Linked DNA regions of Arabidopsis thaliana. The protein of the gene in region 2 interacts with the protein of the main gene of each other region in a pairwise test. Each region holds a gene or a part of one and is shown on either strand. Other genes may lie near its edges.

Region 1 (5,877 bases), on a different chromosome or scaffold from region 2:
TCTCTTCTCTGATTTCACCAGTGACCTGAGCCCTATCATTGTGACCTACACGGTAGCGATATATAGCAAACGTTTCATGACTAGAATTATGTGCATATATATTCAATGTGACCGGTAGTTATAAGTGTTTCTCATAATTTCTATAAATAACATCTGCAATGAGTTAATAAACGAATTTGTCTTAAGAATTACTTGTTCATCGACAAATTTGGCCCAGAATCGAGCCATGGCTTTGTCATATGGACTTTGCGGTAGAATAGGATTGTTTGTCCATGTTTGGTCGATGTATTCAAGGATCAGTTGTGACTCGGGTAATATTTTACCATTGTGAACCAAAACAGGGACTTTTTTGTAAACCGGGTTGAGTTGAAGTAGCAACGGGCTCTTGACAACCAAATAATCTTCGTCCAAGTAATCGTACGGCACGCCTTTAAGCTTGAGAGCCATCTCGACTCTACGACTGAATGGGCTTGCCCAAGACCCTATAAGCTTCACACCCTCTTCTTTCTCGGCCATTGAATAATCAATCTCTTTCCCTCTTTTTTATTTTTTATTTAACTAATCTTTATATATACTCTCATGTAAATTGTGCATGATTATAAAGGCATAAAGGAAAAGGAAAAGTCTTTTTTAGGCCATTTACTCCAATAATTAAGCATACTTTTCTAATTAGAGTTGTGAGGAACACTTAATTACAAGTTCAATGTATGTACATCATTCATGTGTATCATCCAAGAACATCTAGAAGGTAGTTGTTCATCATTGCCGTCACTTTCAAATGTGTTCATCATTTATCCTCACGCCTAAACATTTCAGCATGTGTTCAAAATATTAAGAATCCTCAAAAGTCAATATTTATGTCTAACTTTGACCATCTCTCTTTTTTTTTTTTTTGATAAATATTCTTTGAACATGTCTTTCATCTTTCACTTCCGATGTATTAGTTTTGGAGAGATATGTTAAATATTTGTTATTTCATTTCTTGAAGAAATTGAGTTACCAATGCTAATACAAAATTGGATAGACTAATAGAACCAGAATATCACTAAACTGAAATACTAACCAACAATACACAATAAACCAATACTAACCAACCATACGTTAATGTTCTTAACTTCTTATCAAACATCATGTAATCAATACCACACATCATGAAACAAATTAACTCATCATCCTATCGAACTTAGATTTACCATCTTTGCAATTTATTTTCCCTAAACCATAAATCAATATTTGTTATTATAGTTATAATAGGTAGCTTTCAACATTTCACTTTGCACCCATTAATTGATTTCCACTACCAATGCAGCTACATTCATTCTTTGTTTCAAATTTTTCAATAACAAAACGATACAAGCTGCACATAGTCATTATTTTAGAACACAGAGTTATGAAGTTATCATTAATTTAGAACGTAGACTTAGCTCTCTCTATAATTTTCTTCATACGCTCAATATGTTTCTCTTTTGGAGGTATACATTCCCTCACGATCTCAACTTCATTCAAGTTCTTGATCCATCTGTTTAATTCTGGAAACGTATCCTCTGGAGTCATATCAATCCCCAAACATTCCCAAGCCCGAGCAAGACAAAACGGGATCATACTTCCCGCAACCATGTCCAAGAATCCGATCGTCTTGCCACCAAAGAAATCTTTTCCAGTGACTTCCTTCTCAAGAAACATAAGCATTTCTCGAATCTCCTCAATAGCAACATCTATTCCCTTCTCTGCTTTTACTAGGGGCATGAAGCCAACTGGTAGGATCTGCAAGTTATTATACCAATCTATAAAAAAAAGTACTTAGAAAATTACTTTATCCTACAAATAATCCTGATATAAATGCTTGAAATGTAATGAACTTCTAATAACTCTCAAGTGTTTCTCATTTATTTTGCAATCAATATTATAAATCAATTTAATTAGTTAGACTAGAGTACCTGCTCATCAACGAACTTGGCCCAGAACCGAACCATGGCCTTCTCGTAGGGATCGTGAGGTAGAATTGGATTGTTATTCCAAGTTTGGTCGATGTATTCGAGGATCACATGTGACTCGGATAATAATTTATCATTGTGAACAAGAACCGGAACCTTCTTGTGAACCGGATTTAGTTCAAGAAGTAAAGTGCTCTTTTTGGGTAAGTCTTCTTCCAAGTACTCGTATGGTACGCCTTTAAGTTTGAGAGCCATCTCGACTCTACGACTAAAAGGGCTTATCCAAAACCCTAGAAGCTTCACACTCTCTTCTTTCTTCGCCATTAGATCTCTCTCTCTGACTCTCTCTGTCACTTTAAAAACAATATTGTGCTTTTTTTTGTAGTCTCAACTCTCAAGCTTATCTTGAAGATAAAAAAAAAAAAAAAGACATCAGTAAGGTAACCAAGTCACTGCTGAGGTCACTTTGGTTATTTTATTCTTATTTCCTTCTAGTCTTGGCTTTTACAATCTCCAGACACACCACGTTATTTGATTGCTGTAACTTTCAAATAGGTTTTTGATCTTTTTACTTAAATATTAGGTCATTCTATTTTTCGAAAAACTTTAAAAAATAAAAATATAAATAAAAAACGATGCAAGCATATAAATCAAATATTTTCGTAGGCAAGAAGTATCTTTAATTTAGGCAGACTTAATTGTCTCTGCAATTTTGGTCATGCGCTCAATTTGTTTCTCTCTTGGAGGAATACATCCCCTCACTGCCTCAACTTCTTCCAAATTCTTGATCCATCTATTTAATTCCGGAAACTTCTCCTCTGGAATCATATCAATTCCAATACCTTTCCAAAGTCTAGCTAGACAAAATGGGATCATACTTCCTGCGATCATGTCCAAGAATCCGATTGTCTTGCCACCGAAGAAATCTTTTCCAGTGACTTCTTTCTCAAGAAACATAAGCAGTTCCCGAGTCTCTTCAATAGCAACCTCTCTTCCTTTCTCTGCTTTTACAAGGGACCTAAACCCTAGTGTTAGGATCTGCAAGTAAAGAACAATATATAAACAAGCGAATAATATAATATTGTTCTGCATAGAATCAACTAATTAATCTGCAAATCAATATTAGTATACCTGGTCATCGATGAACTTGGCCCAAAATCGAGCCATGGCCTTCTCGTAAGGATCTTGAGGAAGAATTGGACTGTTCTTCCACGTCTGATCGATGTATTCGAGAATCAGATGTGACTCGAGTAATATTTTGTCATTGTGGACAAGAACCGGAACTTTCTTGTGAAGCGGGTTTAGCTCCAGAAGCAAAGGGGTCTTGTTGGGCAAATCTTCTTCCAAGTATTCGTATGGCACGCCTTTGAGTTTGAGAGCCATCTCGACTCGACGACTAAAAGGGCTTGCCCAAAACCCTAGAAGCTTCACACTCTCTTCTTTCTCCGCCATTCGATATCTCTCACTTTTTGGTATCTAACTCCTCTGTTTCTTGCACTACTTTTCTTTTTTATGTTTCGTTTACTTGCTTGATTACTTGAGTTTACTATATTCTATACACAAATGAAGTTATGGGTGGTGAAATAAACAAATAAATAAAAGGACCATTTTGCTTTCTCTTTGTCTTTGTATCCAAGGATATCTTGAAGATCACACCAGAAAAGGACTGATTTATATTTTAAGGTATGCACGTCATTGCCAACGTCATTCGTCTTAGTGTTTTAAGATATTTGACCAACACTTAGTGTTTCTAATCTCCAGTCAATTAGCCGACCAAGAAATAACAAATCTCCAAATGATTACGTTCTACAATTTATATTTTAAGATTCATATGTTGAAAAGTTTAAAACTGAGAGATTAATGTATCGACTGTATTTGTAAAACACACAACTTTTTTTGTTTTGAAGAGTCTATTTTTTGGCCAATTCATTGTCTGCCAAACATTTGAAATGAATGACATTGTAAAACAGAAGAAATATTCAGTTATCAAACAAAATGTTAATCATTTTGAAAGAAATGATGTAATAATCTAAATCAAAATATAACATTTATATAATGTGAACCTTTTCAGTTTTTGGGTTTGATTCCGTCTTGATTCACGGTATCGGTTGATTTGGTTTAGTTAAACCGAAATCGAACTCTAAGCGAAATCATCTCGTCGGTTAAACTTCTTTTGAATTTAGACAAAGGTTAATAATTATTATTTATTCCATACTTCATTAGGATCAAATGTATCCGATACATCATAATTCATAGCTCAATCGGAGATTATTATAATTTAGATAGAGTACTCACACACTCAAGTAAAACATGAACCATAACCATGACAAAAACACAAGCAACTCCGATGATAAAACTCGAACCCATTACTCAACCAGAGATCTGAATAGACTTAACATCAGCCTTCTTAGTCTCAGCCTTAGGCACCGTAACAGTCAACACACCATTCTCCATCGCAGCCTTAACCTGATCCATCTTCACATTCTCCGGCAACCTAAACCTCCTCGTAAACTGTCCACTCGATCTCTCCACACGGTGCCACGTGTCATTCTTATCTTCTTTCTCCACGTGTCTCTCTCCACTGATCTTCAAAACACTATCCTCCTCAATCTCAACTTTAACTTCCTCCTTCTTCAATCCAGGCAAGTCAGCTTTAAACACGTGGGCCTCAGGCGTCTCTCTCCAGTCCACACGTGCGTTCACGATCGCTGAGTTCTCACGAGAAAGTGATGATGATGTTAGTTCCTTGAATGGATCCCATACGTCAAGAGAGAATGGATCAAAGATGTTGCTTCGTCTGTTGTTGTTGAAGAAACTTGGAATCATCGACATTTTAAAGAATTTACTTTTTTTTTTGTTGATATCTTCTTGAGAACTTTGATTTTTCGATTTCTGATAGAACACACGAAGGATTTTTGAAGCTATTTAAAGGTACTAACCGAAATTTCTCGAGCTTCTCGAGTTGTTATGGGGAATACAGAAACATCTAGAGGACGTCTATGAGAAAAATCAGGTGAATCCAGAAAATTCTAGGAGCATTTTGAAGATTGTTTGTGTTCGTTGGGTTTAATGGGCCTTCATGGGCTTTAGACAAATATGTAGTCTTCCAAAAAAAAAACTGGATTTCTACAGATTATCCGGTTCGACTGGTTAACCGAATTAAATTCCAAAATAATTGGACTCTAATCACACTATCCATAAAATCTAAAACATTTTCTTTGTTAATCTGAAGCATTTAAGGCTGTCTGAGTATTATGGGCCATGGGCTTTAAAAGCAATTGTATAACGTGCTGAATTGAATAGAATATTACTAAAAACTGGGCCCATCTAAAGGAGGATTAAACAAATCCAACGGTGTATATTGGACATTGAGCTCCACTAAGTAAGTAGGGTCACAATGACGTAACTTCCCGCGTTCATTACGGAATCTTGAGCGTACGATTCTACTATTGGGCCCATCTTTATAAAAATTATACTGTTTTTTTTACTAAATCCGTCGGCCACAAAAAGATATGTTTTTTTTTTTTGGGAAAAAAAAAAAACAACTTCGACGAAAGACTCGGCGAACAAAACACACTCGCTTCAACAACTCTCTATCTCTCTCTACTTGTCACTCTCTAATCTACACACAATTAACAAAGCTCAATCTCTCTCTTCTCTTACTCTCTACCTCTGTAGCTGATAGGGTCAGCTTCGTCGGCGCTATTTCTGCCGGATTTCACGGACGATTTGAGATCTGTTCTTCCTTCTTCTTTTTTCCTCTCCTGATCTGATTCAACTCTAATCTGCTTCAGTCTCTGTGTTACGAACTGATTCCGTTCAGGTACGGTTCGATTTTTTTCCAAGCTTTTTCACTCTCTGACACTGCCAATAACACTCTCGTGTTAGTCCTGGTGTTAGTGTTATGTGAATTCATCGATTCCTGCTTTGTGTGTGTACGCTT
Region 2 (10,214 bases):
AAGTATCCACCTCCGACAGAGTTACTGGACTTGCAACCTCTCCCAGTGACGGCGCTAAGGAATCCGAATTATGAGATACTCTATCAGGATTTCAAGCATTTCAATCCAGTGCAGACTCAGGTCTTTACTGTTTTGTATAACACTAACGACAATGTGTTGGTTGCTGCTCCAACGGGAAGTGGGAAAACTATTTGTGCGGAGTTCGCTATTTTGAGGAATCATCATGAAGGACCTGATGCTACAATGCGTGTTGTTTATATTGCACCACTTGAGGCTATTGCCAAGGAGCAGTTTCGTATCTGGGAGGGGAAGTTTGGGAAGGGTCTTGGTTTACGGGTTGTTGAGCTAACTGGGGAGACAGCATTGGATCTTAAGCTGCTTGAGAAAGGCCAGATAATCATAAGTACTCCTGAGAAATGGGATGCTCTTTCCCGCAGGTGGAAACAGAGAAAATATGTTCAACAAGTTAGTCTTTTCATCGTCGACGAACTCCATCTAATTGGAGGTCAACATGGTCCAGTGTTGGAGGTAATCGTTTCCAGAATGAGATATATTTCAAGTCAGGTCATTAATAAGATCAGGATTGTTGCGCTATCCACTTCGCTTGCAAATGCAAAAGATCTTGGGGAGTGGATTGGGGCCAGTTCCCACGGCCTTTTCAACTTCCCTCCCGGAGTCCGTCCTGTTCCACTGGAGATCCACATTCAGGGAGTGGATATATCCAGTTTTGAAGCCAGGATGCAGGCGATGACCAAACCAACCTACACCGCCATAGTTCAGCACGCCAAGAACAAGAAGCCGGCTATTGTTTTCGTCCCAACCCGTAAACATGTCCGCTTGACTGCTGTGGATCTGATGGCTTATTCTCACATGGATAACCCGCAGAGTCCTGATTTCTTGTTAGGGAAGCTGGAAGAACTGGACCCTTTTGTTGAACAAATCCGCGAGGAAACACTGAAGGAGACACTGTGTCATGGTATTGGATACTTGCATGAGGGTTTAAGCAGTCTGGATCAGGAGATTGTGACACAGCTCTTTGAAGCTGGACGGATTCAGGTTTGTGTGATGAGCAGTTCATTGTGTTGGGGCACTCCATTAACTGCGCATTTGGTGGTCGTAATGGGAACGCAGTATTACGATGGGAGGGAAAATTCACATTCTGATTATCCAGTCCCTGATCTGCTTCAGATGATGGGGCGTGCTAGCCGACCACTTCTTGACAATGCCGGGAAGTGTGTGATCTTTTGTCATGCACCGCGGAAGGAGTATTACAAGAAGTTTTTGTACGAAGCCTTCCCTGTGGAAAGTCAGCTCCAGCATTTCTTGCATGATAATTTCAACGCAGAAGTGGTTGCTGGGGTTATAGAGAACAAGCAAGATGCCGTGGATTATCTTACATGGACTTTCATGTACAGGAGGCTTCCCCAGAACCCTAACTACTACAATCTCCAAGGTGTTAGCCACAGGCATTTGTCTGATCACCTATCAGAGCTGGTTGAGAACACCTTGTCTGATCTTGAAGCCAGTAAATGCATTGAGGTAGAGGATGAGATGGAACTCTCTCCTCTCAACCTTGGTATGATTGCATCCTATTATTACATCAGTTATACCACCATTGAGCGCTTCAGTTCACTGTTGTCTTCTAAAACCAAGATGAAGGGACTTCTTGAAATCTTAACATCGGCTTCAGAGTATGACATGATTCCTATACGGCCTGGCGAAGAGGACACCGTTCGAAGATTAATCAATCACCAGAGGTTCTCTTTTGAAAACCCAAAATGCACAGACCCTCATGTGAAGGCAAACGCGCTTCTTCAGGCGCATTTCTCAAGGCAAAACATTGGCGGGAACTTGGCAATGGATCAGCGTGATGTCCTTCTATCTGCAACCAGACTTCTTCAAGCGATGGTCGATGTGATATCAAGCAATGGCTGGCTGAATCTTGCTCTGCTAGCTATGGAAGTAAGCCAGATGGTGACTCAAGGCATGTGGGAGCGGGACTCCATGCTTCTGCAGCTCCCTCACTTCACAAAAGACTTGGCCAAGAGGTGCCAGGAGAATCCAGGGAAAAACATTGAAACCGTATTCGATCTTGTGGAGATGGAGGATGAAGAACGCCAAGAGCTTCTCAAGATGTCAGACGCTCAGCTTCTAGACATTGCCAGATTCTGCAACCGCTTCCCAAACATCGACCTTACTTACGAGATTGTGGGCAGTGAAGAGGTGAACCCAGGGAAAGAGGTTACATTGCAAGTGATGCTTGAGAGAGACATGGAGGGGAGGACAGAAGTGGGACCTGTGGATTCACTGAGGTATCCCAAGACCAAAGAAGAAGGATGGTGGCTGGTCGTGGGCGACACCAAGACAAACCAGTTGCTGGCAATCAAGCGTGTCTCATTGCAACGGAAAGTGAAGGTGAAGCTGGATTTCACAGCACCGAGTGAACCAGGAGAGAAGTCATACACACTATACTTCATGTGTGACTCTTACTTGGGGTGTGACCAAGAGTACTCGTTCTCTGTTGATGTCAAAGGATCCGGCGCTGGAGATCGCATGGAAGAATGATTTGTTATTCAGGTTAGTTCCACAGTTTTCTGGTCATAGTTTTCGGATTTAGATTCTGTACATGGTTGTAGTTTTTGTGTTACGAACTTGGCTTTACTAGATTCTGCTATGTGCATTGACCAACTCGCTTTCATCTATTGTTTGAGTAATTTGTTCATCAATCTGCTATTTTTCTGTTTCGTCTGTTTTCTTTTTGCATGAGCTATGTATTAGGTTTTACTCTTGAGCATTGATTTACTTATCTAGGTATTAGAATACAGGTATGCTCATGGTATATATATACCTAGTATTGTGAAATGATTGATTGATAAGTTAGTGAACAATGTTGATCAGCAAATTGTTAGAAATCTGTATAATTGGATGGTGATTTGATGTGTGCTTTGGATGGTGATTTGATATGTGTGCATCACTGCTATATGAAAACTGCTTTCTTGAATCATGTCTCATAAAAATCTCACATGATGTTCCTTTAAAATAGCTGATAATAGATTTTGTATTTTGAAATCCAGAAAATGACACATAATTTCTCTTCTTTGCAGGCTATGCTGATTCTGGAGAGTGTGACTTGTCTTCCAAAAAGCCTCCGTACCGTTTGGGTCTCTGCAATCTTAGCTCTCTGAGAATATATATTAAGGTGTAATCGTTTTTTTCTGGTCTTTTACTATTCCAATTACTCTTTTTATGTCGTGCATCGATTTTTAATCCTATGTATGGCTTGTTTCTAGTTTTGTTTGGACCAAACTCGACAGAGGAGCCAATGTCAAAACTACAATTTGAGTTTGTGACTTTGAAAGCTGAGATTACTTGAAAGAATTTTAAATGCAGCAGTGTTCATTTTGTAACATCTGAGTTGTGTGATACTGGCTTATTGAGTCACCGATAGTTTTTCCTTAAAACTAAAATGTACTATTGCAAGTAAAAACCAAACAAAAAAAATTCATTCAAACTTGCATTATAACCAAGTAAACGTGATCAATAGAAACTTGCAAAATCACAACCAAAATATTTGTCCAAACAATATGTAGTCAAAACAGTCTGTTGTGTTCATAAAAAAGTCATATAACGATACACCAAAAAGAAAGAAACGGAGGTGTTTGGTTGGTAGTATATTCCTCCTCCTCCTCTTTCTTCTTCTCCCTCCTCACTATATATTTTGAAGTTTATTAACAAGAACCAAAAAAAGTCACACTCGAAGTCTCACACCACACCAACCACTTCTTCTTCTTCTTCTTCTTCTACATAAAACCTAACGCCATGGATTCAGATTTCGGAATCCCCAGAGAACTCTCCCCTCTTCAGCAACTTCGATCTCAGTACAAACCTGAGCTTCCTCCTTGTCTCCAGGTCCCTTCTTCTACTTCATAGATCTACTTCCTTCCATTGTTCCTATCATTGGATTTATTTGAGTACTTAGTTTCTTATTCAATATTATCATTCTTGGATTTCTGCAACTATTCCAAGTTTTTGTTTATCTTAATTCGATGAACTTTGCTCCTTAAGCAGATCTGATTTCTAGATTGTATTGTTCTCGGATCTGTTTTATTTCGATTCCTAAGTTTCATTGGCAGTCTCTTCAGCTTTAATCAGTTGAACTTTGTCATTTTCTTATTCTGCTTGAAATTCGTTTCAGGGGACTACTGTCCGCGTGGAGCTTGGTGATGGAACCACTGTGGCTGAAGCTGCTGATTCACATACCATGGCTCGTGCTTTCCCGCATACCTTAGGCCAGCCTTTGGCTCACTTCCTCAGGGAAACTGCTCAAGTTCCTGATGCGCACATCATTACCGAGCTTCCTTCAGTTAGGTGTGTGAATCTGTTTGCTCTCTATCTATATGTTTCTGGATTGGCGTTTGTGTTTGATTTAAGTTCTATTCAGCTTAAGTTAGTTCTTTTTCTACTGTAGAGTTGGAATTGTGTTTTGTGGAAGGCAAGCTCCAGGTGGACATAATGTGATCTGGGGTCTTTTCGAGGCTCTCAAGGTGCACAACGCAAAAAGCACTTTGCTAGGATTTTTGGGTAAGTTCTATTATTTTTTATACAACTGCATCATTTGCCAGTTTAGAGATTTTTTGTTAGACTTAAGTAAAATTTGTTGTTGACTGATAATAGGTGGTTCCGAGGGTCTATTTGCACAAAAGACTCTAGAGATTACAGATGATATACTTCAGACTTACAAAAACCAAGGTACTTGTTTGATCAAGGCATTGTCGTCAAATGCAGAATCTCCCGTTCATTGCTTCAAGTTCTGATATATTGGTGTTGAAATGTATGTTGTAAGGTGGTTATGATTTGCTCGGAAGAACTAAGGATCAGATCAAAACAACTGAGCAGGTTAACGCTGCACTCAAAGCTTGCACAGATTTGAAGTTAGATGGCCTTGTTATCATTGGAGGTACCTAGCGTTTTTACTTATATTCATTGGCAAATTTTTGTCTTTAATTTTTACTAAACCAAGAATATATATTGTGGTTTTTGAAGGCGTAATATCAAACACAGATGCAGCTCATCTCGCTGAATTTTTTGCTGCTGCAAAATGCTCAACTAAGGTCCTAATTTCTTTTTCTACAGTTTCATTTTAAATTCCTTTATAAAAATGCTACGGTAATTAAGCTCCTATGAAATTACAGGTGGTTGGTGTTCCAGTTACTACAAATGGAGATCTCAAAAATCAGTTTGTGGAGGCAAACGTGGGTTTTGACACCATATGCAAGGTAAAATGTAAACTTTAACCATCTGGTTACTTTGTCTTAGTTATCTTTTGTAGCTATTGCAGCAACATGATGCCGTTGTCCCTCGTAAGTCTTTGCAGAAACTATATGTTATTGTTTGCTAATGATATTTTGCGGCATACAGGTGAACTCACAACTCATTAGCAATGCCTGCACTGATGCCCTTTCTGCAGAGAAGGTAAAAGCTATTTCTTCCTGAACTTTCATGTTGCAAGAGATTGCTAGGGCATTCTTAACTGCAGTTTATTAACTTCATATTCTGATAAGACGAAATATTTCGATGAAGGATGTGAAAGCAGAAAGCTACTACAAAGTTATATTCTTTATGATTCTGATATCAAGTTCTACTTTCTTTTTTATTTGCAGTATTATTATTTCATCCGCCTCATGGGTCGTAAGCACTCTCATGTTGCCCTTGAGTGTACACTCCAGTCTCATCCAAACATGGTTCGTAACTGTTTCAGTTTCGAAACATAGACTATTGATTCTGTTGGCATGTTCATGCTCTAGACTCTCATTATCGTGTCATCCGATTGTCTCAGGTGATACTGGGCGAGGAGGTTGCAGCATCTAAGCTCACAATTTTTGACATTGCTAAACAGATCTGTGATGCTGTTCAAGCAAGAGCAGTAGAAGGTCTCGTAATGAAAACCATCTATGATTAGATTATGCAATCATGTATTTTACTGTGTTTACTAAATCTGGTACTATTTCATTTGTTTGAACCAGACAAGAATCATGGAGTCATCCTCATTCCTGAAGGGCTTATAGTCAGTATTCCTGAAGTCTACGCTCTGTTAAAGGTAATGATTTGATACTTGTTTCTTTCTTCAATACTGAGATGTACTTCTTAGTATAAATCACGTATAAGCTGACATTTGTTTGATGTAGGAAATTCACGGGCTGCTGAGGCAGGGTGTATCTGCTGATAAGATTTCTACTCAGCTCTCACCTTGGTCATCTGCTTTGTTTGAATTTCTTCCTCCATTCATTAAGAAACAGGTTCAAATTCTTTGAAATTAGAATTATCTTTGTTTTCGTTCAAAGCAAAGGTGTATTAATACATATAAGATGGTCGCCTTTCTTGCTACAGCTACTTCTCCATCCTGAGTCTGATGATTCTGCTCAGCTATCCCAGGTAATTATGAAGAACAAACAGAATATTTTGGACCTACTATGTTATAAAAAAAAAGTTGGAATCCTAAATGCTCTTTTTGCTTTCTACTCTAGATTGAGACAGAGAAACTTCTTGCGTATCTCGTGGAGACTGAAATGAACAAGCGCTTGGTATGCTCCAATTTTATCATTGGTTTCTATCTTTTCCCAATACTGTTATCTAAATAATGGAGTCATTATTTGGCATCAAAAAATACTATTGCTAATGTAATGAAATCTTTGAATTTGACAGAAAGAAGGCACATACAAGGGGAAGAAATTCAATGCCATATGTCACTTTTTTGGTTACCAAGCTCGTGGATCTCTTCCATCGAAATTCGATTGTGATTACGCCTACGTAAGTCACTAACAGTCTGTGCCACAGTACCAATGCAACTTCATAATTTAGATGAATATTAACACTATTGAATGGGAGAATCATGCAGGTTCTTGGACATATATGTTACCACATCCTTGCAGCTGGTCTGAATGGTTACATGGCAACAGTGACCAACCTAAAAAGTCCTGTGAACAAGTGGAAATGTGGTGCTACACCTATTACAGTTGAGTTTTGTCGTATTTTCTATCTAAAAGACGGCGGTTAATACAGTGTATTTCTATACTAATTCCCCATTCTTTTATCTCTGGTATTACCTTTTAGGCGATGATGACGGTGAAGCATTGGTCCCAGGATGCTAGTTATACTTTAACTTCAATTGGTAGACCTGCAATTCATCCAGCTATGGTGGATTTGAAAGGCAAAGCATACGAGTAAGTCAGCTATTACAGAAAACATGAACACACTCACGTTTGGCCTTATTTATCAATTGTTTGAATGTGAATGGTTTTCTTGCAGCCTCTTGAGACAGAATGCACAAAAATTCTTGATGGAAGATCTGTACAGAAACCCAGGACCGCTACAGTACGATGGTCCTGGTGCGGATGCTAAAGCAGTGAGTCTCTGTGTTGAAGATCAAGATTACATGGGACGTATCAAGAAGCTGCAGGAATATCTTGACCAAGTAAAAACTTTTTGTTTTTGTGTTTTTCTCTGCTAATTTCGTCAAGTATCGAATAATGTTCTTCGCCACTTTCATATTTATTAACATTTTTGGGGTTTGGTCAGGTGAGGACGATAGTGAAACCAGGATGTTCTCAAGACGTATTGAAGGCAGCACTGAGTGTGATGGCTTCGGTGACTGATGTTCTTACTACTATTTCTTCAAATGGTGGTCAATGATTTGCTTAAAACTTAAGGACAAAGCTCTTATGAATCACACACGTCGTGTTTGTTCTCTTCTTTTTGTTTTCTTTCTTTTGAGATGTAACTTTTGTTGTATTTTTTAAGTTATTGAGTTTGGAAAGACATAAAAATTGAAAAGGTTTGGATTATAGAGGCGCTATTTCACCATATCAATCCTTGTCCAACTTTTATTTTTCAGTTTCACTATTATTACAAACTTTTTTTAAATATGACAATTAGGCATGCATGCATGATGCATATAGCAATAGCATCGCTTGAACACGATTTTGTTTACAAAAAGAATCATTAAAATTTTAAGAGTTACATTTTTAATCTTAACTACACCAAAATACTAGAAATACAGTGTATCTTGCAAACTAACTTTAACAACCAATGACGTGTCATGTTCCCAAATCCCAGTTATAAATTTTGATAGATTTTTGACAGTATCTTAGGTACAGCTTTGGCATAAATACACTTTTATTTATTTTAAAAACTATCTTTAGCCTAAATACATTGTTAGTTATTTAAAAATTAGAAACTAAATGAAGAAATTATTTAGATATTAAGAAATATTTATCATTAAAAGATATTAGATTTTGTCATTTTTTTATATTAGTAAATTTTCTTTGTTCAACTAATGAAATTAATAACTAACAGATTATTTTGCAAAATGACAAACCTATAAAATATATATTAATATTTGATTTTCAAATTATCTTGCAAAATCATTCAAAAATTTAACTAAATTTATATTAATGTTGTATTTGAATTTTTCTTATAATGGTGAGATACTGAGATTATCCTTGATTAGAATTGATTGTTACTTTTTTTTGGTAATAATATGTTGTCTATTATTATATATATATATATATATATATATATATATATATATATGTTGAAAATAACACAAAAATATTCACATACGCCAAGCAAAATAGAATCATGAATAATTTGCCAAGAAATTCTCAATTTGATTCATCTTCCATCATCAATGATTTACCTTTAGACCTTCTCGACGAGATTCTCTTCAGATTAGAACCCAAATCTATGGCTATGATGCGATGCACTAACAATTCTATCAAATCATATTTAAGTGATCCAAGATTTGGACCGGAATATCCTTCATGGGTCAGACCTAGTTTGTTTAACCTTGGTAGCTATGGCGCTACTTATGTATGTTGCCATCCTTTGGTCTCTTCATGCGATTATATGTCACCGGGAAATGGAGTAGAACTGTTTGATGGTAGTGCGGATTGTTACATTTTCGGCTCATGCTCTGGTCTTCTCCTATTGTACATTGGTTGTCTCTTTGTTGCAAATCCCTTAACAAAAAGGTTTCGAATCCTGGATCATTCTGGATCAAAGCTTATACCAATGATAGTTAATGGTGGACTTAAAGGTCTTAGCGGAATTAGTTATCCTGGAGGTAATGTTGCTTGTACGGAACGAGCGATGTGCGTTGGATTTGCGGTAAATCGAAATCTAACAACCAAGAGATTCAAGATCGTGGGCATACTCGAGATGGAAAACGTATACGGATTCGAGATCAACGAAGGAGACTCTTGGAGATTATCGGAAACGAGTATCACCACTAGCTCAAAAAGTGATCTCACTACGCGGATGAAACCTGTTTACTTGGACAACACTCTTCACTGGCTGAGAAACGATGGCAGCATCATGTCTTTTAATCCCGAGACAGAGCAAGCATGCTTGATTCCTTCCATATTTCATCGGGAACCGGATACGAAGCTACTTTTCGCGGAAAGCGTTAAGATCAATCGCCTGACCCTAATTTCGGGGACGATAGAAACAATCTCCGTTTACACACTTGTCGAGAATCACAAATGGACACTCACAAGGCGGATCAAGAACATATCTATCGAGGAAGAAACGCTTGTATATTGGAACATAGCTATGTACGATGGCAAGTGTCTTGTGGTGAGGGTGAAAAAGATGGGTTTAGAACCTTTGGCAAGTGTTCTTCATGTGTACGACATGGAAGCTAACAGTTGGGGAGTTTTGGTGTCAACCCTTGCTTGGCCCAATTGCGTCCGAGATTTCTATAAATTGACGCCCTCCTTGTTCTTTGTAGAGGAGGATGAGCAACAGAAGGTGCTTGTTGCTTCTAATGACCGACGCATCTCCTATATAAATTCGATTATGGGACTCATTGATACCACCAAGTAAACATTTAGGGCCTATAGATTATACAAAAAATGTCCTGATTTATAAGAATGTTTGTTTCCCATTTGCTTTTATCATTGCACTATTATGGTTTATGTATTTCAAATCTAAAAATTAGTTGTATATTACTATTTCTTTTGGGACAAAAAATCATTTAAGACAATGTTGTTTAAGAACTTGTTCTTCTCTGGCTTGTCAATTTTTCGTCCTGCCCAATAAAGGCCCATCTTGTGTGTTTTGTCGAATCTAACAACAAACTCACACCTTTTGACCAAAAAACAAACTCTCCCCTTTTTTTTTTCCTTTCGTGTAGCTAAACCGTCTCCGGATGTTGA

Evidence for each region. Proteins that work in one complex are often made in the same cells at the same time.
Region 1: the proteins of AT1G20950 (region 2) and GSTU2 interact in a two-hybrid assay, tested with the Arabidopsis thaliana proteins (one large-scale study listed by BioGRID).

The regions. Positions count from the first base shown.
Region 1 is NC_003071.7:12,628,975-12,634,851, forward strand, and holds GSTU2 (glutathione S-transferase tau 2), read right to left. Parts: upstream 2,348-5,877; 5' UTR 2,259-2,347; coding exon 1,938-2,258; coding exon of another isoform or gene 1,933-1,937; intron 1,765-1,932; coding exon 1,408-1,764; 3' UTR 1,224-1,407; downstream 1-1,223. Other genes in the region: GSTU3 (glutathione S-transferase tau 3), read right to left, coding at 1-45, 193-516; AT2G29485 (uncharacterized protein), read left to right, coding at 1,616-1,757, 1,933-2,000; GSTU1 (glutathione S-transferase TAU 1), read right to left, coding at 2,619-2,972, 3,066-3,386; AT2G29500 (HSP20-like chaperones superfamily protein), read right to left, coding at 4,305-4,766. UniProt on the Arabidopsis thaliana protein: May be involved in the conjugation of reduced glutathione to a wide number of exogenous and endogenous hydrophobic electrophiles and have a detoxification role against certain herbicides.
Region 2 is NC_003070.9:7,294,942-7,305,155, reverse strand, and holds AT1G20950 (Phosphofructokinase family protein), read left to right. Parts: upstream 1-3,522; 5' UTR 3,523-3,819; coding exon 3,820-3,909; intron 3,910-4,195; coding exon 4,196-4,368; intron 4,369-4,468; coding exon 4,469-4,581; intron 4,582-4,674; coding exon 4,675-4,749; intron 4,750-4,843; coding exon 4,844-4,957; intron 4,958-5,043; coding exon 5,044-5,111; intron 5,112-5,192; coding exon 5,193-5,276; intron 5,277-5,418; coding exon 5,419-5,472; intron 5,473-5,660; coding exon 5,661-5,741; intron 5,742-5,836; coding exon 5,837-5,930; intron 5,931-6,023; coding exon 6,024-6,097; intron 6,098-6,185; coding exon 6,186-6,296; intron 6,297-6,387; coding exon 6,388-6,432; intron 6,433-6,524; coding exon 6,525-6,581; intron 6,582-6,702; coding exon 6,703-6,807; intron 6,808-6,895; coding exon 6,896-7,012; intron 7,013-7,110; coding exon 7,111-7,220; intron 7,221-7,305; coding exon 7,306-7,471; intron 7,472-7,575; coding exon 7,576-7,689; 3' UTR 7,690-7,917; and 1 more. Other genes in the region: emb1507 (U5 small nuclear ribonucleoprotein helicase), read left to right, coding at 1-2,565; AT1G20940 (F-box family protein), read left to right, coding at 8,638-9,882. UniProt on the Arabidopsis thaliana protein: Regulatory subunit of pyrophosphate--fructose 6-phosphate 1-phosphotransferase.